3 linked regions of the Caenorhabditis elegans genome follow. The protein of the gene in region 2 interacts with the protein of the main gene of each other region in a pairwise test. Each region holds a gene or a part of one and is shown on either strand. Other genes may lie near its edges.

What was found. Proteins that work in one complex are often made in the same cells at the same time.
Region 1: the proteins of vps-39 (region 2) and pbs-5 interact in a two-hybrid assay, tested with the Caenorhabditis elegans proteins (2 studies listed by BioGRID).
Region 3: the proteins of vps-39 (region 2) and cuti-1 interact in a two-hybrid assay, tested with the Caenorhabditis elegans proteins (one study listed by BioGRID).

Annotation. Positions count from the first base shown.
Region 1 is NC_003279.8:14,717,146-14,724,038, reverse strand, and holds pbs-5 (Proteasome subunit pbs-5), read left to right. Parts: upstream 1-3,561; 5' UTR 3,562-3,576; coding exon 3,577-3,980; intron 3,981-4,031; coding exon 4,032-4,366; intron 4,367-4,567; coding exon 4,568-4,683; 3' UTR 4,684-4,872; downstream 4,873-6,893. Other genes in the region: sol-2 (CUB domain-containing protein), read left to right, coding at 1-15, 846-1,324, 1,763-1,868, 1,913-2,118; K05C4.2 (Protein jagunal homolog), read left to right, coding at 2,700-3,008, 3,058-3,318; Y54E5A.8 (Conserved plasma membrane protein), read right to left, coding at 5,054-5,151, 5,528-5,801, 6,360-6,473, 6,521-6,643, 6,888-6,893. UniProt on the Caenorhabditis elegans protein: Component of the 20S core proteasome complex involved in the proteolytic degradation of most intracellular proteins. This complex plays numerous essential roles within the cell by associating with different regulatory particles.
Region 2 is NC_003283.11:14,031,545-14,041,410, reverse strand, and holds vps-39 (Vacuolar protein sorting-associated protein 39 homolog), read left to right. Parts: upstream 1-3,038; 5' UTR 3,039-3,061; coding exon 3,062-3,134; intron 3,135-3,181; coding exon 3,182-3,247; intron 3,248-3,297; coding exon 3,298-3,506; intron 3,507-3,554; coding exon 3,555-3,697; intron 3,698-3,741; coding exon 3,742-4,034; intron 4,035-4,086; coding exon 4,087-4,455; intron 4,456-4,499; coding exon 4,500-4,789; intron 4,790-4,834; coding exon 4,835-5,366; intron 5,367-5,413; coding exon 5,414-6,006; intron 6,007-6,605; coding exon 6,606-6,818; 3' UTR 6,819-7,088; downstream 7,089-9,866. Other genes in the region: ins-10 (INSulin related), read right to left, coding at 7,090-7,163, 7,220-7,403. UniProt on the Caenorhabditis elegans protein: Plays a role in vesicle-mediated protein trafficking to lysosomal compartments including the endocytic membrane transport and autophagic pathways.
Region 3 is NC_003279.8:6,400,826-6,407,726, forward strand, and holds cuti-1 (Protein cuti-1), read left to right. Parts: upstream 1-3,761; 5' UTR 3,762-3,767; coding exon 3,768-3,936; intron 3,937-4,013; coding exon 4,014-4,165; intron 4,166-4,244; coding exon 4,245-4,429; intron 4,430-4,680; coding exon 4,681-4,783; 3' UTR 4,784-4,880; downstream 4,881-6,901. Other genes in the region: ZC328.5 (Apple domain-containing protein), read right to left, coding at 5,057-5,260, 5,604-5,915, 6,052-6,111; san-1 (BUB1 N-terminal domain-containing protein), read left to right, coding at 6,709-6,837, 6,883-6,901. UniProt on the Caenorhabditis elegans protein: Involved in cuticle formation and ensures cuticle shedding during larval development. Plays a role in maintaining the hypodermis. In association with vps-39, may play a role in vesicle tethering.

The DNA of each region.
Region 1 (6,893 bases), on a different chromosome or scaffold from region 2:
CTGGACAACTTTCTGGTGAGGTTTTAAGAAATTTGTAAATTTTTGCCACATGGCTGCGTGAAAAGTTGGGGACCAAGTTTCCTATTCTCGCGGCCAAGGGTGTCAGTGTCCCGTAAAAATTACAAAAACGGGACAACGGGAATTCCCGTTCCCGTGAAAACGCTCAAAAACGGGACAAAAGACGTCCCGTTCCCGTAAAAATGACAAAAACGGGACAGCGGGAATTCCCGTTCCCGTGAAAACACCCCAAAAACGGGACAACGGGACAAACGGGAATTGACACCCTTGCTCGCGGCCACGACACCTTCATGTTTCGAAAAATTTTGAAGAGGAAAAGTGCTTTAATTGGTGGCCGAGGTTTGTTTCTTTCTAGGCTACGTTGCAAAAACTGTTACCTTACTACGTGGCCGTGGAATGAAAATACTCGGACACCAGGTGATTTTTTTTTTTGAAATTTCAAAATTTCAAAATCTATAAAACTATTTCTGTAATGGTGCGTCCATAGTCTGCGGAAAACGGGAATTTCCCGCGTGCGGAAGCGTCCATAGTCTGCGGAAAAACCGTAGTTTCCTCGCTTTTTTTTCCTCAAAATTCAAAAAAGTAGGCGTGGTCTTTTTTCGCTTTCCCATTGCTCAGCTTAAAATTTTACAACCTCTAATTTGTTGGACACGCCCACTATTTTGAAATTGACCAATAACAAAGCGAGAAACTCCTTCTTTTTTCCGCAGACTATGGACGCTTCCGCACGCGGGAAATTCCCGTTTTCCGCAGACTATGGACACACCATAAGAAATTCAAAAAACTTAAAATCTGAAACTTCTACATTATACAATTATAATATTCAGGTGAAATACTGTCACCAGGCTATCCAACCACATATCCGAAGAATTCCACGTGTAATTGGTTGATCCGTGTAGAAGCCCGACAACGAATCTACATTCGAATAGTTCATTTACACTTGGCCCCCACTATTGCAGAATGTGAACGAGCATCACTAACAATAATCGATGGATATAAACATGAAAAATATGGAATTGATCGAAAGGAATCCACGTCAGAGACGTCTGAAGCAAAATTCTGTGGAAGTCAGCTGTATTATGCAGAAGAGGGAATGAAAAGCTATTTATCAAGTGCAAATCGAATTGTTGTACGATTTATTACACAGGAAGGACCACCGTCTTCAATGATTGGGGAAGAGAGGATTGGATTTAAAGTTGTATGGACTGCAGTGGAGGGTCTGATTGGAGAAGGTGATGAGAGTGTTAATGGAAATTCTTGTAAGGATCAATTTATGTGCCATGGGGGACAAGTTTGTGTTGAACAGGTTTGTGAAAAATCAGAATGTTTTCAATGAATCTATATGTAGTTCCTTGTTATTTTTTAGAAATTAACTTGAATCATAAATTCAAAAAAAAAGAGTTGTTTAATTACAAAACTTTTTATTTAATCCAAAATTTTGGGTTAGTGTAGTCACTAAAGTACGCAAACGGAACTACAGTACCCAAAAACATCCCATTTCACGACATTTGCTAGTTTCGAGCTGGAAAATTGATTTTTGAACGGGAGAAAACATAAATTCGACAGTCTGAATATTCGAAAAAAAAGGAGAAATTCTAAAGTTGAACAGAACCTATTTAGAATAAATTTTGTTTTGTAAGAAAAATTAATTAGCCTTTTCGTGATTTGTATTTTTGATATTTAACAAATTGAATTGCCACAATGCTGAAATCCATGTATTTTCAATTACTTTTTTCTACTTCAGGGTCATGGAATTTGCGCTTCACGGTCCCGTCTCTGCATTCACAGCTCTCTCGTTTGTGACGGAATCCATAATTGTGTTGAAGGAGATTTCTCCGACGAGCAACACTGTAAGCTCATTTTCCAGTAAAATCCAAGATCTAAAAATTTCCAGGTTACTCCCGAGAGATAATAACATCGGCGGCACTCGGATTCTCGTTGATTGTGCTCACGATGCTCGTCTTGGTGTGCTGTGATCAGTTCAGGAAGCGGCGACGGCTTCGGGTGATGATTCGGGAACGAAGAGCCGCGTCGGAGAATGGGAAATGTAAAAATATGAATAATAATTCGATTACAACACGGATACAGCCGAACCGGTGACTATTAGAGAGCGAATTGTGAATGTTTTCGCGATTCGCTCGACAAATTTATCGAATTTTTCACAATTTTATAATTTAAAATTGCTTTTCAGTTAATGTAACGGAGCTTTTTTCTTTTATTTTTAATTTGAAACTTTAATAAACATTATTCAAACATATAAATTATTTACTTTCGACAATTTTCAAGTGTTTTGCCTGGCAGAATAGAAAGAATTATGGAAATATTAATTCTTTATCAGCGGGAAAGTAAAAGAAAAATAACGGCAACTCCGTGCGGCGATATTGCGAAAACCGCGCGCGCGCATTGCAAAGGGGCGGAGACTCGTCTTTTTGTCATCTTTTGTCATCACTAAAACTAACTAAAACAAAATTTTCTATATCTTTCGCAGGTTTTCGCTTTTTTAACGAGTTTTCTCATTCTTTCTATGGAAATACTGATGAATGTGTAGAGTTGGTCGATATTGGGACCTGTGAAATTTATACTTTCAGCTCAGATGTTATTCTTCGCTGTTTCTTCTTAATTTCTCTTTTTAATCACTTGAAACTCAATTATATCTTTATTTCAGCTCACTTCAAGCGGGAATGTCATCACGAGGAGTTCGAGCGGCGGGTACCGATGGGACGGACTTCCAAAATCGGCAGAGGGTCGCACAGCACTACCAGGAGAGCGCTCAATACAAGTCGATCCTCAAGTGGTTCTTCGTTCCACACTTCTTGATCCTGGTCTTCATGTGGCTCAAGGTTGGCAGCGAACTCCTCCGAACAAATTTCGGATGGAAAAACGCGTTCTTCGATCGACTGGACATGCCGTCAGCCTACCCATGGGAGTATGTGTGGTGCTTCTCATTCATTCCGATCGTCCTCGCCATCTATTCGTTCCAACGAAACAAAGTAATTTATTTATTGATCAATTTGCCACAAATATAACTTCTTATTTCAGCTCAAGATCCTCCACTACGCCTACTATGCCGAGTTCGTCGTCGGAATCTTCCCATGCATGATCGGGCTTGGAGGACAACTTCCAGAGCTGATGGAGTATGCTCAAGACATGGAGGGAAGCAACACACCGACATTCAAAGGAATCTTCCCGATGGTCATCATATGGTACATCTTCTTCGCGGTCGCACTCCAGATTCACGGATTCTCCATGTACTTCATGCATCACCTTGCCGCCGCATGGGCTCCAGTCAAGCGAGATTAAATTTTCTCCGTTTTGTGATATTATTTTTCAATTTTCCCCCATTTGTTGAGTTGTGTACCTTTTCCTTGTTAATAGTATTTTTATTCAAATTCCTGCTAGTCTCTATTGCCAAATTAATAATTCCATATCTTTTATTTATTTTCTTACTTTTTCTAATTACCGGTTACTGTTCTACAGTTCCGTTGATACTTTTCTGTTTCAATATTGATTGCATTTGTTTCATTTTGTTAAATCAATTTTCAGAATCGAACTCCAAAGATGTGGGGCGAGACATTCGACGATTTCGAGAATGACGAAGGAGAGATGGCAATGGCCAAGCAGAACCTGATCGCCGAGCCGGCTCGAGCTGATTTCACTTTCGCGAAGCTTCCGTTGGGAATCCAGCCCGTCGATTTCATGAAGACTCACTTCGCCGAGACCGCCGGAAAATCCATGCAATTCCGCAAAGGAACCACCACATTGGCGTTCGTCTACGAGCCAGCAACTCCAGCTGACAAGGGAGGAATCATTGTGGCTGTCGATTCACGAGCCTCCAGTGGTGAATACATCTCATCCAAGTCGGTCATGAAGATCTTGGACATCGGAGATCGTATGGTTGCCACGATGGCTGGAGGAGCTGCTGACTGTCAGTTCTGGACCCGAATTGTCGCCAAGTACTGCACGTGAGTTTCAATATTTTCAGCTTCAAAACAAAAATAATTATTTATTTTCAGTTTGTACGAGCTCCGCGAGAAGACCTCAATCACCGTGAGCGCCGCGAGCAAGTACTTTGCAAATACGCTCTATGGATACAGAGGACAAGGATTGTCAGTTGGATCGATGGTGGCCGGATACGATAAGAAGGGACCACAAATCTTCAAAGTCGACTCGGAAGGAGATCGTTGCCAGCTTAAAGTGTGCTCAGTTGGCTCAGGATCTCTGAATGCCTACGGTATCCTCGATAATCACTACAAGCCAAAGATGACGGACGACGAGGCCAGAAAGCTCGGCCTGCGTGCGATCATGCACGCCACTTATCGGGATTCTGGATCCGGAGGCGTCTGCAATTGTACGTGAAGCTTTTTGCTCGGCTATTCCACAAAATGGACCATTTTTCACTAAAAATGGCTTTTATTTTGTCTAAAATTTAAATTTTAGACGATTTTTATTCGAAAAAATTCTTCGGATAAATGAAAAAATTGGTTCATTTTGTGAAATCTCCGGCCACCTTTAATCTAATCGCTTCTATTTTTCATCCTCCAAATTTCAGTGTGCCACATCACGCCAACCGAAAAGATTCGTCTTCCACCAATGGACGTGAGCAAGCTGTGGTACGAGTTTGCCGATGAGCTCGGCAGAGATATCACCTACAACCCAGTCGAGTGATTCAATTTCCCTACGCTGAAATTAATTTTATTCTTCTTACATGTATTTGATGTCTGATCCGATCCCGATTTTTTTTACATACACACCCGTCTTTAAAATGTCATTTATTTCTATTTTTCGTTTCCAATTAATTTATTCTTCTTTTGCTAAATACTCTCTGTACATTAAGTTCTAAAGTTTTCAAGTTCGAAATCCCGAATTTAGGCTTAGAATTTAGAATTTCCCTCGACAACAGGGGTGGCTGGAAGAAACTCTCAATCACATGGCACAAATTGGATTTTTGGAACATTAATATCAAGTAGTTCTAGAGGGATACTGAGATGGAGTTACACTCAAAAGTTTATTGCAATTTTCGAATGTGAAAATCAAGTTAAAGCGATATGTGTCGGCTGGGTGTTGATGACGTGGTGATTATAACAGCTGGAGTCCCATTAGTGTTCCGCCACGCAGGGCCTATTCGTGTTCCAGCTGGAAATAGTTTAATTGTGCTATTATTTGAATTGTTTTTTTCCATTAAAATTGAGAAAAAGTGCGATTTTAAGAGTAATGGGTATCAGTAGGATCTAAATATTTTAGCTACCGTACCCAGGAATATTTTGCAACTTTCTCTAATTTTTTCGACAGCTTTGGATTGTACAGTTTTGGCTGAGAAAGTCAATGGGTAGTTCGAAATTTGCCAAAACTAAGTTTTCCGTAGATCAAACACAAAGGTTGCGCGCCAAATATGATGTTTTGAGTCCTCAATCGGAAAGTACGCAAAGACACACAAAATGCATCAGATTTGACGCGCAAACTTCATTTTTCTTGTTTGTGAAAAAAATATAATATTTTTTTAAAAACTTACAGGACATAGAAGGTGCCACAGATGCCCGTTCTATAAGCTCAATTTGCTGCTCTCTCCGCCTGGGAAGCATCGGACGGCGGCTCTCGGAGCCCACACTATCGCCAGCTTTATTATATATAATGGCACTGGAACGATCGAATTGTGGCTCCTTTTGCATATTATTTATAAAATGGTAACAAGCGGTAAGCATGACGCCCATGAAAATTCCAATGCAGAAGAGTAATCCGACAAGAATCCACGGGAAATCAGATGGCTTGAAGGAATAGGAACTTGGCTGGAAAAATCGAAAATTGGTAAGTGGTCAGCATGCGCGCTCTAATGTTAAAAGAAATATAAATTGTTGGTGTTGGGTCCTGCCGTTATCTAAATTGATATAAACATTTAAGCTACCATAGTCACGAATATTTTTTTTTTTTTTCATTTTGTTAGAATATTTTCGTCGTACAAACCGATAATCGGCAAAATTTTTAAAAAAGTTAAAAACTCTGTAACCGCGCTCCAATGATAAATAATAGAATTGTCGGGTCCCACCACAATCGAATCTTTTCATCTACCTTGAAATTTGCATAATAACAGAAATTGGAAAATTATTTGAAATTCAAAAAATATCTCATTTTTCAGCGGGAATTGGAATTTTACGGAAGCTGGCTTTTTCAGAGTCGATGCACCATGTGCAAAATTTTGACAGGGGATATCTCTTGGTTCATTTTGAAGGTACCAACAAATTTTTAAACTGCAAAATTATCTTTAAAAATTTGGCGTCAAATGTGGTGTATTGTGTCCACAAAGGAAAAATAACCGAAAACACTAGATTTGACGCGCAAATTCTCACCGTAGACGTTTGCTCTTTCTTCTGCGTAGGCGGTGGTGGAAGTGAAGCAGAAATGACACGTGAGCCACCTGGTTCGACGGCTTTCCAGTAGAATTCTTTGTTATTTATTTTTTCCTGTAAAAATAATAGTTTTCGATTTAAAAAATATGAAAGAGACAAACTTTAAGCCTAGGATCGGCGTCTTTTCCCATACTCTGAATAATTTCGGCCGCCAATTTCGGTGTCATTTCTTTTCCGCCACGTATCTCGTAGTAGTTCGTACCGTACTCATTGTTTCGTACCGCCTGAAAGTTTGAAATTAAAAAAAAAAAACGAAACCCAAAAAGTTGCACGTGGTGTCAGGCTGTCCCACTACGGTTTGATCTACAAAAAATGCGGAAATTTTTTTACAAAAAATGTGACGTCAGCCCGCTCAATGTGAAATTAGTTGAAAAGTCTGCGTCTATATTTCTGCGATTCTCGTAGATCTACATTGATCAAACCGATATGGGACATTCTGACACCACGTGTAGTTGTAGTAGAACTCACACTGTA
Region 2 (9,866 bases):
GTATAGGAGGGGCAGTCGAGAAGCTGGTTTAGATTTTTAAAGAGCTCAGCGGTTCTACTTGCGGTAGTGGATGGGGGCGGTATATCAGTATAAATCTAGTTTTGGATTGCTTATGGTCTAATGCCAGAATTTGACAAAAATGCGAGAGATAAAAGGAAGGTGCAATTGAGACAGGCGTAAGAGCCCATTTTTTATGAAAAAACACAGCAGTACCTCCGCCGCATTTTTTGGATGGCACTCAAGCCGATCAGATCTTATGCAGGTATAGTGAGGTGAAGAGCATGAGAAATCAGTAAAAGCATTACTTAGAAATGTTTCGGTAACAAACAAGATGTCTAAACTATTAGAGGCTACGAACTTATGGACAAATTCAAGTTTTTCAAGCGATGCAATGGAACGAGCATTAGCCTACATGCAATTAACCAGCTTGGGCTTTGAAACACAGACGAGAGCCGCCTTTGAGTTATGTTTAAGTTTTGTATTTAATTGTGATGTTTGTTGTGTTGGGATGTCATTTGAAAGAGGCGTTAAATCATTCAGTGTCAGGCGGCCGTCTCCCTATGCGGCGAGAGGGATTGAAATTGGGTTCATCGGAAAAGGACGAGGATAGATCAGGTCCACAATTTCAAGATCCCGGATAACGTGCGCAATGCAGCCCGCAGCCTGGTTCGCTTCGTAGGCCTCCTTACGGAGTTCACGAAGCGCGACAAGCTCGAGGGGAGTCAAGTCCCTACGCGCACGGATCGGTCGAGGAGATTGCGGAATAGAGGAAAAGTTGCGCCAATTTTTATAGAAACCGGTAAGAAATTCATCGCGAAGGGATTCAGAATTGAAACGAACTTTAGTTGGCCGGGAAATGATTTTGGAATTTTTGGTAGCAACTCTAAAAACTTCAGTGGGAACAGGGAGAGAGAATTCAAGGGAGAAAGATTTAACCAGATTAAAATCGGAACTAACTTGATCCGGGTTTTTCGCATCGGGCAGGTTTTCCAGAACAGCTAGATTCGATTTCTTCTCAAAGGAATGAGCAGTAGATACCAGATTAATCGATTCGACAACTTTCTTCAGCACAGGGTTCTTCTTCATCACCGAGGAATATAGATCACGATTCGCTGGCTTCTGATTGTAGACATTGCTGTTTGAAAGAATTGACGGTTCAGTAGAGGGGCATTTCAGATATTCCATCACCACCAACACCTTCATCCACTTCTTCGCCTGGAACGACGGGATTTTCTACAAAAATCGGATTTTTTCTCTATGTCAGTTTAATTGATGTATAATTCCGAAAAGTCAGTCTTTCCTAGGTTTTTAAATTGAAACATTTCAGATATTCCATCACCACCAATACCTTCATCCACTTCTTCGCCTGGAACGACGGGATTTTCTACAAAAATCGGATTTTTTCTCTATGTCAGTTTAATTGATGTATAATTCCGAAAAGTCAGTCTTTCCTAGGTTTTTAAATTGAAACATTTCAGATATTCCATCACCACCAACACCTTCATCCACTTCTTCGCCTGGAACGACGGGATTTTCTACAAAAATCGGATTTTTTCTCTATGTCAGTTTAATTGATGTATAATTCCGAAAATTCAGTCTTTCCTAGGTTTTTAAATTGAAACATTTCAGATCGTCCACCACGTCCACCATCTTCATCAGCTTCTTCGTCTCCAGCTCCTGGATCTGCCAAAACCCCTATTTTTTTTTCTTGGTCAGTCAGATTTATGTAAAAATCCGAAAAGTCAGCCTTCCCTAGGTTTTTAAATTAAAACATTTCAGATATTTCATCACCACCAACATCTTCATCAACTTCTTCATCTCGAACTCCTGGATTTCCTACAAAAATCGGATTTTTTTCTCTTGGTCAGTCAGATTTATGTAAAAGTCCGAAAATTCAGTCTCCCCTAGGTTTTTAAATTGGAAAATTTTCAGATAGTCCACCTCCACCGCCTTCTTCATCCACTTCTTCGTCTCGAACTCCTGGATTTTGCAGAAAAGGGCGACCCACCTCCACTGCACAAAATGCGTCCGCTCTCTTAATAACTTTGTTAATATTTATTTTTTTTAAGTTTAATTATAATAAAGTGAATAATATTAATAATAAATTTTCCAATTTATAAACGTATTATATTGTCTTCTCAATGCACTGATGATGTGTAGAGTTCTGCTGATTTTCGATTCCTGAAAAAAAACAGGCTACGAATGTTTCCAAGTCGACTTGAATATTGTCTTTTTTCCCAGCTTTTTCCGAGGAGTGGCCCTCATGATATTTTGTAGTCTTATCTGTGATTTTTGGAATGTGAAAAAAATTTATTTTTTTTCAAGAATTTAATTTTAATTTTTTTTTTCAGCATTTTTGGTTAAAAATTTTCTTCCAAAATTTACAAATTCAGTGCGAAACGATCAATTTTCCATACAAAAATATTGGAGGCATGAAAAAACTAAATTTGAATGCGCGCGAAAAAAGTGTTCAATGGAGCGCGTTTACTCGTCGAGCACTTCGGGAAGAGGGGGTACGTTTTCGTAAGGGGATTTTTTCGTAAGGAACGCTTTCAGTAGGGCAATGTGCGGCGCGCCTTTTCGCAAGCCCGCCGCACAGTCCTTCGCAATGCGCCGCACGGCTTTTTGCAATGCGCCGCACGCTTCTTCGTATTTATTTATTTATTTTTCCAACAGGAAATTTCGAACGGAATTCAATTAAAAACGGATTTTTAATGGAAATTAATTAGTTTTATTCGAGCTAAATACGGATATTTTCAGAATTTTCGATGACAAAAACGGGTTTCAATCGATTTCGAATCGATTGCGAAGGACTGTGCGGCGGGCTTGCGAAAAGGCGCGCCGCACATTGCCCTACTGAAAGCGTTCCTTACGAAAAAATCCCCTTACGAAAGCGTACCCCCTCTTCGGGAACGATAATTTGAAGTCTGTTTTTTCGAGACACAAATAATTGTTTTGATTATTCGGCATTATTTATTTGCGAAAATTTATTCTTCTCTATATTACTGTCATAATTTTCAGTTTTAATTTCATTTCAGGTACTTCGACCCACCAAAGCAAAATGTACGATGCATACACGCCTTGCGAAGTAGCTCTCCGATTACCCGTAGAAGTAACATGTCTTGCATTTCAAGGTTTTCAATATCAAATCACTGGAATTTACAATCATGATTGCTTTCAGAATCGAATCAAACCTTGTTAGCCGGTGGAAGAGCAGGACATCTCTATGCATACACAATTTCAGCTAGTAATATTTAATCGTCAAGAAATCTATTTCTAAATATTGATAAATTACAGATCGTCGTGGATTCGAGCTCACAAATATCTGCAAAAGCTTTCACAAGAAAGCAGTAATGGAACTGAAAGTTTGCCAACGTGAAGATCTCCTTTTGTGCGTGTCCGACGGTCAATTGATGGCTCACAAGCTCAGCGATCCAGAGTATAAAGTTGAAACATTAATTCACAAAGTGAAGCCTGTTCAGACTTTTGCAAGATTTTCACCCAAGGTTCATTGGAAACTTTCCGAATTTTCTATTCAATATTTTTGTTTTCAGACATCTGGAGACCTGTACGTAATTGTTTCGTCACGAAAGAAGTTATATTTATTCAAATGGGGAGAGAAAGATGGCCACAAAGAATTTATAGAAGTTGCATTGGATTATAATCCAGTTTTCTTGGATACTCCAACATCTATAAGGTACAAAAGTTTATGAAACAAATTAAAGATAGAATAAATTACAGATGCGTTGGTGAAATGGTATTCTTTTCTGTTCGAAACGAGTATTTTTCTATGACAATGCAAAAAGATAAGACAACCACTTCGCCAAGTGAAGGTTCAACTCCGGAAGGATGGAATGGTTTTGTAACTCGTCTTTTAAATTTCAACTGTCAGCCTGGCATTGTGCCAATGATCGATCGAAGAAGAGTTGCATTTGTGAGGAATGAAATAGTTGTAACCACTGATATTTGGGGACAACGTCCGGCAAATGTATTAAGTGACGAGTACAAGTTCAGCGAAGTTCCCATGCAAATCGGTAACTTTATTGTGGAATTAAATTATTTAATTAGTTACCTATAAATTTCCAGTATACGATTCACCTTACTTGGTTGGAATGCTCTCAAAAGGCCGCGTCGAAGTTCGTTCAATTTTCGATGGTCAACTTGTACAGACAATGTCCCTCCCGAAGGCTATGACACTCTGCAGTGGTGCTCGTGGACAAGTGTTCGTCGCTGCTCTTTCCGATATTTGGATTCTTGATACTTCACAAAATCTTCGAAAAAACGTGTCTCATTTGATACAGGAACGTCATTTCGAGCTAGCAATTCAATTGGCTGAAAATTCGAATTTATTTGCAGAAGAACAGAAATTAGAAATTAAAAAGAAGGCTGCATTGAATTTATTCAATCAGAAGAAGTTTGACGAGTCATTCGCATTATTTGGAGAAATTAAAACCGGTTAGTGCTTCATTTCACATAAGAAAATTAAAATTTTTTTTGAGATATTTCAGAAGTGCTCTCAATTATTCGAATGTTTCCCGAGCTTCTTCCAGATGGATTTCAATCAATGACCGGAGTTGTCAGTGATATGCCTGCTAACGACAGAATGCGTGCTCTTTTGGCTCTCGGTAGTTATCTATCTGAAATTCGAACTGAACACGCGAAGCATATTGAATTATACAATCGTTTGTACTCATCGGGAGCGGCAAAGAAAACTGATGAAGATGAGAAGGCAAAGCTCTTGTTGACATTGAGAGTTGTAGATACAACACTTCTAAAGTGTTATATTAAGGTTTTTCGAATAATTATGGAAAATTAAAACAAATTAAAATTTCAGACGAAACCAATGCTTGTGGATTCTCTAATTCGTCTTCAAAGCAACGCGTGCACATTTGAGGATGCAAAGAAGATCCTCGAATCTGAAGGACGTCTCCGATCTTTATTCATTCTTTACGAAACCCGCAAAAAGCATGAAATGGCTCTCGATTTGTTTATCGATCAATCTAGCCGCCCGGATGCTGATCCATTTTTCGATGATGCTATTCAACAAATTGTCGAATATCTTCAAAGTCTTGGAAATAGCAATTTGCCACTAATTCTAAAGTACGCAAAATGGGTACTAGCCAAAAATTTGGAAGCCGGAGTTCAAATATTCACTAGTGACGAAACAGAAATGGCTAGAAATTTAAATCGAAAAGCCGTCGTGGAATTTTTGAAATCCGAATGCCCGGATGCACTGATTCCGTACTTGGAGCACGTGATTTTCAAATGGGAAGAACCTTCTTCATATTTTCACGAGACACTTTTGGAATTCTATGTGGCACGAGTCAACACTTTGTTTAAGGATTATGTACACGCTTTCCCAGACGGTATGTTGATTCATAGCACAACAAAAAAAAAATACAACCTCTAAAAGCATTTTCAGATGAGAATATCACTCGCGCGGGAGACGAGGATGGCGAGCTGGGCCTCTACCGAAAACGACTTTTGAAATTTCTCGAAGTTTCCCATTCATACAGTCCACAAACAGTGCTTCTTCAACTAGCACCACATGCATTTTACGAGGAAAGAGCTCTGATTCTTGGACGACTGAAACAACACGAGCAGGCGCTTGCTATATATGTGAATACACTGAAGAATGTGCCTGCAGCAGAGGAGTACTGTAGACTCTACTACAATGCACACGATGAGACCAATTCACAGGTGTATCTGATGCTCTTCCGAACTCTGGTACATCCAAATCAGCAACAACTGCACTCGATTCCTTATCACGCCGATTCGACTCCATTCGGATCATATCGTGATGATGTTTCTGAAGCATCAACGTTAGTCAACTCTACATCATCGTATCAACCAGATGTCAATACAGCAATCAAGATTCTGGCAAAACATGCAGATAAAATCGATACAGTTGGAGCATTGAATATGCTTCCAGCCACCACTCCGCTCAGAGTCGTGTTCTCGGCAATTAACGCGGTGATTCAAACTACCGGACGACAAGCGAGCACTGTAAGTTTCAGAGATGCGTTCATTATTTTCTTTTCTATTATAATTGTCCAAGGTTTTGACATGCCTTCTTGAAAGCGCACGAATGTATTCAGATGGGTCTTGGCGCGCAATAAAGTTTATGGTAGTCTTTTTTGCAGCTGCGTTATCTTTTATTTTCCCTGAGCTTTTTCATAATTTTTTCTTAATATTTTTTTAAGGCCTACAAACAGAAAAAATGCGCATTTTAAATTGGAAAACATATTTTTCACTTTAAAAATTGATTTTAATAATTTTTTATCAGAAAATGAAACGTAAACATATAATTTATCTTTTTAAAAAAGGAAATCGGCGAGAGAGCAGCCGAAAAAAAAAGACTACATTAAACTTTTTTGCGCGTAGAGACCCATTTGAAAAAGACTATGCGCCTTTAAGCAGGCATGTCAAATTTTGTGAAATTACAATAAGCAATATCTTGGACTCTGATCGAATTTCCGGTTGAATTTAGGATGTTTACAGAATTAAACACACTTTCAATGATCAAACTGTTGCGTATACTCTACGTAGATAAAATTGTTTACAAAACCTCCAATCTTTAAGCTTTATATCTAGAAAATTTTCAGCGAAAAATGGAAAAATCTGTGTCCCAATGTGCAATGTCAAAGAAGCTGGAGCGCAAAAACAAGGCGCAATCTACTAAAATCATCGTCAATTTCTCAAGTGAATGTGTTGTTTGTGAGAAGAAAATCGCTGTAAGCGCATTTGTCCGGTATCCGGATGGTCGATTGGCACATCTCTACTGCCATAATGATTCTCAAGGAGGAAACAGAAATTGAAAGGAAGTACGGTACCTAGTACCTGAAATGTACTAATTTTTGTATCTATAAGACGTATTTTTGTATAGATTTTTTACTGATTTTATGTGCCTTTATCCTTGTAACAACTTGTCACATCACATGTCTTCTAGTCCCCTTTTACTTTTTTCTCATTCCAGCGCACTCACTTTTATTGTACGTGTAACATTCTCTTGTATACAAATCTGTCCATTTATTCCATTTTACAAAATTCAAAATAATTCAATGAAAAGGCAAAACGACGAATTATATATTATAAAACGGAGCAGCAGGAGATCCGGATTTCTTCCCAGGAGCACAGTCCGGTGCAACAGTCTGTCAATGCTCCTGAAAATTTCATTTTGAATAGGAACTTTTAAAAAATTATTTTCTCAACAACTTACCAATCTCAGTGATTTTATTTACTTGTGCACACTGCTCTGGATTGATGATTCTGCACATTTTTTCCATTTTTTTGACACAAATTTGGAATGGAAAAGCTGCACTTGTTCTGGGAGCCAATGTTACGAGGAGCAAGAATGAGATTAGAAGAATTGTTTTTTGAATAGTGGAGAAATGCAGTGACATTGTTAGAAGTGCTGGAAATTGTGATAAAGTCCAAATGAACGGGCAAATAAAATGTATTAAATCCAAGGACAAACCGAGGGTGGAGCTCTGATTTTGGAAGCATTCTGGAAAAGTGGAAATGGGCGGCGCCGAGTTTTAATGGAATCACGAGATTCAGAGGGTGGAGAAACTTGAGAAGAAGTTGTCTGGAGGATAAGGAAATGGGGATATACTTTTAAAGAAGAATTCCCGACATCTAGACTAACAGACATACAGATCAGGAATTTTTTTTTGAAATTTATGTTTAAAAATTGGAAATTTTTTCTGAAACTTGAGTTTCATAATTTAGTAATAAGGTTATCAAATTTTATTTTTGATAAGAGTCTTCATATTACGAAACAAGGTCCTGACACGAACAAAGTTTTTTCAAACTACCGTACCCAGGATGCAAAAGCAGCAGGGTTACGGTAGGTGAGAAGTTTTGTTCGTGCGAGGACCCAAGACGACAATTTGCTGCAAAGATTTTTCAAAGAATTCAGCGGAATTTTTGGAAAATTGCCAAATTTTCAAAAATTGTGACTTTCGAAAATTAAAACAAAATTAAACAATAAAAATCGTAAAGACAACATTTCGGCTTTCCAAATTGACACAACATTTTTTTCTATTTCAGAAAATCATAATCTTATGCCAAAGTTCATAGAAAGTTCCTTTCCACGTTTTTGGTAATTGGATCTCTCTCTGACCAATTTGATGGAACAAAGTTTCCCAGTCTGAAATATGATCAGTTCCTTATTTTCCACGTTTGGAAGTTTGATTTTTTGTTCGGAATTTGTCGGATTTGTCACGGAATCAAAAACTTAAAACATGAAAAAATGAACGAAATTTGACACCGACATAAACAGATGATAGTCACACACCCCCTACTACATTTTTTTTCTCCAATTTTGGTTCATGATCCGAAAGAAAAGGGCATATTATTAGTAATTGGATATTTGATGACGATGCTCTTTACGACATAAATCGACGACAAAAACATTCCAAGATCAGAAATCGGAGAAACTTCTGGACGAACGAGAAGACGTAGAAGTTGTTAAAACAGAAAAACATATACATTTACAAGTTTTGTACATGAAAATAGATGACGTCATAATACTTTTGAGAGTTTTGAATTATGGTAGGACAAATATTGTAGATGTTGTCAGAAAAAGTATAAATACCCTAGCTTCTGGTAATGAGAAGCTGACCTAAAATTTTAGTAAACTCGAAGAAAGAAAATGTATTACTCAAAGTTTTTCAAACGATTCAAATTTGTTTTGATTGATATTTATTGTATGCACACTGTGTGCGTCAATGAAAAATTCTGTAAAACATTTTCACTACAAATGTAACTGATCACTAGTCGTATTTCGATCAAATTGAATCGAATTTAATGTTAGGGAATTTCAACTAGCAAATGCTCCAAAATGCATGCCATCCAGTGTATTGAAGTGATCCATCAGATACAAATTTCATTGACATGTAGCTTCTTGGAGAAATGTAGTTGAATGGAGCTACCGATTGTCCGGATAATCTGAATGAGTGGAATATTGATTGGTATATTTAAACTATTTTTAACGAGAAAATTGTGAAGTTTGGTTTTGCTCCGTGCTATTGTATTCATAGTCTAATATTTTCAAAATTTAAAAATGGTGAAGGGTCGATAAACTCGAGAGGGAGCAATAAAAAGTGATTAAACTATTTTCAAACATTGATAGCAATTCTTTTAGTCAACAATTTTGGAAAAGTTCAATTAGTTCAGAAATGTAAGTCACGTCGTTGTTGTATCTATAGTTTTTTAAAAACACATTTAGAAATATTATTAATGAGGAAAATTGAAACTTTTATAGTAGACAGGCACGTCTTCAGATGGTCGTACCAACCCGTCATTTATTAAAAAGTAAAAACTTACGTGGTTACAAGAGTACTATTCGACTGTGTAGTGCTGTTATAAATATTTAAATAATCATTTTTGTTCTGCGTTCGGAATACATCAATTGATAATTGACCTGCATTCCCCAGGCAACACTTATTTGATAGACTTGTTCATCGTATGAATCATAGGTTAATGGATAATTGGGTGAAATCATTGCCCCATTTGATCCACTTTGACTTATAACTGGCATATTCTTCATTGCCTTCCACGTCGCCAACCATCCTTTATCGGTAAGATCATAATTTGTCTTGAATCTAACAGACATCATGTTCGAAGACGATTCAAATCCACAAGCCAAATTGTATGAAGATACTCTGAAAATATTTATTGATTGGTGGGTGGTTACAGAATTCAGCCTACTGTCCTATATGGTCAACATAACTTGTTGAGTTACCATCAAAATAGATAATATAAACTTCCTCATCATTAAGAAATGTTCTGACTCAATTACTGTCCTCCTCTTTATACTAGATTAATGAGCAGGTTATAATGGAGTCAAAATGCACGAGAGA
Region 3 (6,901 bases), on a different chromosome or scaffold from region 2:
AAAGCAAAATCCTCATACCCCTCTACTTTCACACATTTATCGTGTCACAATTCAAAATGTTGTGTCTTCTGACATGCATCTGCTTTTTCCAAGTGTTTCCCCGAAAAGCACAAAAGATTTCCACTTGGCCTGTTCAAAAACCGTACAAAAATGTGTCTTTTCAAGAAAAAAGTACACGTCATAAAAAGGTCATGGTTTTTGGCGGGAAAGACGATGGAAAAGTGCAAATAACGAATTGAGTCGCCCGTATAAATAATTTTGTTCACAGAATCAGGTGGTCTCCCGAAGAGAGACAATAGATCATGTTCGAGCTATTTTTTGGAAGCATAGAACTGTCTTTTTATGCTCTTTTGAGGTTTGAAAAATAGTTGAAAAGGAACAGATGGATGAAAGAAGAAGAACAAATAAACGATCAGGTGGGGGTTCGTGGATATTTCGAGGAAATCTTGAGAAAGAAACGAAAGCTCTTTTCAGCTGAGATCGAAAATGAACCGCCTGTTCGGGGTCATGTGTAGATGTGAGGTCTGGAAAGAAACAAAGTACAGATTGAGGCTACTTTGTCTTAAAAGATAGAACTTCAGACTCCTAGGTATCTTGCCCCTTTCGCCTCCCCACCTCTACCCTGCTTTTGTCTACGGATATACATTGATTTTTCTGGAATTTTCTTTGAGCTATAAATTGAAAAGTCAAAAGCAAACCCTCAAATATCGGTCAGAAATTGCAAATCAAACTATAGATACAAATGCAACACCAAGCTCAAAATACAGAGAAAAAACTTGAGGGAGTATTTCGTTTCAATTGAATCATGACAGTAGTCACAGGATAAACGAGAAAGCCAAGTGAGAAGAGCACGCAGAGAAAAATAGAAAAACGACAGTTTGCACACACACACATAGAAACTGAAAAAAGAAGGGTGGATGATATGGTCAACAAATACCAACTAGACTCTTTCGTTCCTCGTCTGGCTGGGGGTTTTTTGGGAGAGAGTTCCCCCAATTCAATGAGTGAAGAATGTTGAAAAATGGTTTGAGTGCGAGAGGGAGTGAACGAAACTACAAATAAACAATACAGCTCTGAACTATATTTAGAGTGACCGTTAAATTTTTTTTAAATATTAATGAAGACTACAATATTGCTAATTTTGGTTTAAATGTCGATTTGGTCCTGAATCCGTGTCGAGGGTCATCTTATGATGACTTTAAATTTTGTCCGACTGTTGCAAAGGTTTTCTGAAAACTGTTGAAGTTTGAATAATGTGAGAAACCTTCCAAACGATGCTGTGAAATCTAGAAAAGGAGAATTCTGTTTTTCCTGATGCTGGTTATTTCCCTTTTATACAAAGTCTAAAGTTATCGACCCTTCTAGTCTGTTTCTTCATTGTACATAGTGCTCAAAATTTTGAGATTCACAGAATGAACACGACAAGAAGAAATCTAATCATCAGATGTAGTTAGTCAAAATTTATTTTTTTATTCAAAGTTTACTGTAAAAAGTGGCATTTGCTCCTATCGTAATTCACCTATCGTAATCTACAAATTTCATATTTGAAATATCTTTTGACTAGAAAAGCTCAAATTATTTTAAAGTTTGGCAATTTGCCAAAACTTTGACTGAAAGTTTTCAAACATGTATATTTGGTTATGTGTTTGAGTACAGTAATCCTGGATACTGTATTTCCTGGACCTTCACACTGCGACCCCTCTATTCATTTTGCAGATGACACTTTTTTCCAAATAACAATCAAATGATAACAAAACAAAAACAAAGAGAAAAAAAAAGTAGAATCTTATTCACATCTTCCATTGCTTCTTCCTTTCTTTTCTATCTCTGGCGCCGCTCATCCACCCTCGCAAACTTTGGAACACTATCTGTTTCTCTCAATTTCATTAACTATTTCGTACTTTTGTCGAGATTTCCGGCGCCTGAAGAGCCAATGAATGAAAGGGAGCCTCTAGTGAAAACAACAGATGAGGGCGGAAAAGATAGGAAGAATGGTTTGTGATCAGTTGAAGATTTTGAGAGAGAAACGAACAAGTTTGAAGCAATAAGTGATCAGATGAGTCAATCAATGGAAAGTTAAATATCAAAAACTATGATGAAACTCTTTTTTTTTAACAAAAAAGAAATTTAAAAACTCTTTAGAAGAAGTTTTTACATAAAAAAACAAAGGCGAAGACAGCAAGAATAAGGAAAAACTTCATTTGAAAATAAACATATTCAGAAAACAAACTCTCTAATTTTAATATTCTACCAAAGGTTTTTGTTGATTATTTTTCAATAATACACTTTCACTTACTAGTTGGAATTATTGTTTTTTGGCTCTATTAAAAACATTTTGTTGAAAATCCACCAAATCTTTGTAACCCTAGCAATCGTAAACAAAAAATGTCTGAAAAGTTGTATTGCAGCCATACTACGAGAAGAATGACGGAAACAATCCACAAACCAGATAGGTTATTCCATTTGAATTTCCATATAATTTTCTTATTCCGAGCAGTAGAACCTATTCATTTCACAATTTTTAAAAAGTAAATTGAAATTTCAGTACATCAATGTTTTACTGAAAGTATACAAGGAGAGGTTCTCTTTATTTTTGTATATCCTCTGAAAACGAAAATCAATGCTACAAAAATATGCCATCCTGTTCAATAATTTTAATAAATACAATTCGAGAAAAACACGATAATTCAATTTATTATTGGTCGTTTTGCGATTTTTTTTTGACATTTCACAAATACTACGGTAGTTCTACATATTTCCGACATAAATATAAAATATAGTCAGTGGGGGCTTTGCCTAACAAGCCAAGTATTTCAGCTGACAATTAGATTTTTGAATGAAAACTATGCCATTTGATAGTGTTTTCACTGTCGGCGATTTTTTTACAAATTTGAAAGTGTTTATACTGAAATCTTTTGCAGACAAGTTCATGAAATTTGTCATGTAACACGAATCTTTTGCACATAATTCGCAGGTTTCCAGATCACTTGTGGTATTTCATTTATGATATGCGATGACGCCATAAATACCCTTGTACTTCATTCATTCTCCGCAATTCACAAATCGGATACAATCCCTCTCACACAAGCGGGTCATTTTCTTATTTCTCTCGATCCTCCACTTAATCTCAATACAATCGGAACATCTCTTCTCTGGATATCTAGGGCAACACGGACAATTGGGAAAAGGAAAGGAACGAGAATGCGTTTCGGGCAACAGACACACCATTCGTCTTTCACTTTGATCCATATATTTCCTTATCGATTTTTTTGAAGTGGTATTCAATTTTTTTTAATGTTTTTCTACTGATTAGTGAATTTTTAAGTTCAACACACTTGCGAAAGCCAGCTCAATAAGTCGAAAATATTAATGAGATTTTCATCCAAGTTTTGATAAGTGCTTTCTATTTCACAAGAAAACCAAATTATAATGTTTTTTATTGATTTCTATATAACATGTGATCTTTTGTAATTACAAACCAGTAACTTCAAGCTCAAATTTGTAAAAATCTTGTATTGCCTGCCATATTAATATGTAGAAAAAATACGGTAACTTCTCCGCTTTTCATTAGGTACATTTAAGGTCAATTTAAACATTTTATAATCATCTCACAATCAGTTTGGAACACTTAAACCCAATGGGAATTTTTCTGAGTTAAACATTTCCACTCAAAGATTAGAATAAATGTTTCAAGCCCTTATTCTGACGAAGCGTTCCACATATTTCTTTTTTTTGAAATTTGATTTCTATAACATTTACAGTAAATCATGCCAAACGACCGGGTGGCTCCATTGCCTCCAAACTTTGTATACTCTCCACATGACAAATTCTACTATGCCCCTGCCACGTGTAATTCAATGCATTATACAACTGCCTCGTACATTTCTGCATTTATTGAATTCCTTGTTATGGGAACTGGAGCTATTTGTTTTTACGGTTAGTTGATTGGAAGTTCAGAAATAGTTGTATTTCACAAAACTTAGAAATTAAAGTTTTAAGAAAACAATTTTCAGTAATGAGCCACAAATCGGATTCAATTGGAAAATGGTTGTTTTATATTCAAGCTGGTATTACGGTACTTTCTCTTTTAACAAGTGCTCTAATGGCATTTGGACTTTGGAAAGAAAATCCACAGATGCTAGGATCAAAATTGAAATTTATTGAAGTAAGTCTTCCCTTCATTCCGAAAAGTTTCCGGCTACTTTAATTATTCTATAAACTTTTAATTCCTTATTAAATTTCAGTTTATAATCTGTTTCCTCCTGATCTGGGCGGTCATTTCTATTGTTTGCATGGCCTTTGGAATTCAATTCACAAGACAAGTCTTTGGAATATTTGGAAAAGTTCATCGAATTGAACAAGATTACGGACCAATTTGGCCATTCAACATTGCTGTTGTTTCTTTCTTCACTGCTGCAATTGCTATTTGGTGAGAATTAAAATGCCTGGATTTTAATAGATTAACTTTAATTAATTTATAATTCTATGTTATGAACCTAAAACATGAACTTCCATGGTTTCTATAGTTTTCTAAGAATGCGAACTTTTCTCTAATAGATTTTGAAACTCCCAATAAAACAAATGTTGAAAATGAGTTTCAAGTTTCAAAACTTTCTTTCAGAAGATAACATTTAAAAACCATTGATTTAAATCTGTCTGTATAAACTGTTTACTTTACAGGACAAGAATCATCATTCAAGGAGCTGCTGATTATCTCTACGATAAAGCTTACTTCGCAGACAAGCAGAACGTCGAACTCAGAGAGTCATCCAAAACCAGATAGATTTCTGATTGTACATTGTTTTTAATCGAATTTCTTAAATTATTTTCATTATAATTTCTCTACCATCAAAGTTTTACTGATAAACGGTTCGAAATTTACTTTAAATTTTATTTGTCCGTTCGTATGTTCAATGTGTTTTGTTACGTTTCTGTGCTCATTTGAGCATTAAAAACATTCAATTGTTATTATTGCCCAACAAAAATCCTGTAATTCACGAGTTAAAAATTTAAAAACTACCAATTCTCAACATTTTGAACGCGACACAAAACTTTATTAGAAATTGAGTAACCACGAAAGAATACTTCTCTTTCTTCTCTTATATCCCATGGCTGGATCTTTAACACTGAGAGAATAATTATCGAAAATACTTTTGAAAAGCCAATAAGATCCACCATCTGGATAGTACATTTTCTCCTTCGTATTTGCCAATTCATCAATTGTAGCAGTGTCACATGTGACCGTCCCGTTGAGATATAGCTGAAAAATAATTTTTAATTTTAAGATATGTATATGCTATAGCTCAGCATCAGTGCTTCAGAAGGCCGGCTTTACCTGTTTCCGAACATTTGCGGTCCTGTTTTAAAATTTTTCAAAACAGGAAGACCTGTCTAACTCCCTACGTTACGTCTACCTAGGTGCCTTGCTTGATTCTCAGCTCGTTTCTGCTTACGTTCTTTCGTCATGCCTACCTACCTCCTATATGCTAGCGTAGCGTATACCTATGTACCTCCTGCCTGCATCATGCCTATCCCAGGCATGTTTACTACCTACATACGTGTCGTTTAGTGGCTGTCGTCACAGAGTTTAATCCCGTATTCACCTTGAAAATAAGTGGCATCCCTCCATTCTTCACAAAATCAGTTGGTCTAAATCTCTCGAAAGCGTAACACTTGTTAGTTTTAAAGAAACTGTATGCACATTTCACATCAGTTTCACAAGTTTTACTACATTCTGGTACTGATGCTGCAGTTGTAACTCCCATTGCATAATCTTCAAAACCATCTTCTTCTTCTTTCATATTCTCAAATACTGCCATACAAGGTGCTTTTGAATCACGAGTTGTTGAACTCTCCACTGTAGTTGTTGATGGTGGTTCAGTGGTCGGACGTTTGGCTCGACATGGCTTTGCGCCCTTCAAAAACAAATTTATTGGAAATATTTATAGCGGTAATAGAATTTAAAAAATGACAAAAATTCAAGTTTTGAAATGCATATTAATTTTGTTGAATACTACTGTAAAACCAAACCAATCAGTTTTAAATGCCTACCTCGCCAATGTTTATCGCCGCTGCTAGTAGAGCCAAGAAAGTAAAGATTTGAAACCTCATCTCGTTCAGGTTCAGAATAATGTTTCATTTTATGTTCTAAAATAGTCTCACAAGTTATGATACTCATAAAACATGAGAACTTCAATAAGTCAGTCGTCATAGTTTTCAAATAGGGAAGTGAAAATAGGAACGAACAAAGAATACAGTAATGTCAAGAGTTTTGAGACAGTTTAAAAGAACTTCATTGCTTAATTGTTACTGCAATAACCGAACTTTTAAGAAGCAATATAGATCACTCACTATTTAAGATCTAGAAAATAAGTTCCAAGTTTAAATTTCTAGTCAAGACGCAAATTTTTGCTGTCTTGGAATTTGGCGTGGAGAAAGCTACAACGTTTTAGTCAATATTTTGGTTTTCAGCTAATTATCGCTCATTTTATTTCTATTTCTTGAGTTGAATTTTTTGCATTCTCAAATAGCGCATCCTCAAAACCCAAATTCCTCAACGTTGTATGGTCTCTGTGCAAACGCGCTCTAGAGGCAATGCGCGAAACAGCGGCGATTTTAAATGAAATTTTGAAGATTTTTTGTTTTTGTTTTAACTTTTAAAAATTGATTGTCAGTCGTTGTTGCCAGTTTATACATATTATTTTAGCAATGGCAGAAGAACCGTACGTTTTCACTCTTAAAAAACGAAACAATGATGACGCAGAAGATGATTGGGATCGATATTCGGAAAATGTCCGCCCAACAAGAAGGGGAAGAAAGATTGACGCACTGAAAAGAGTAAGTATGGTATTTTCCTAGAAAAAAATTTTATCTAAATTTCAGAATGTTGAAGAAGTTGTTA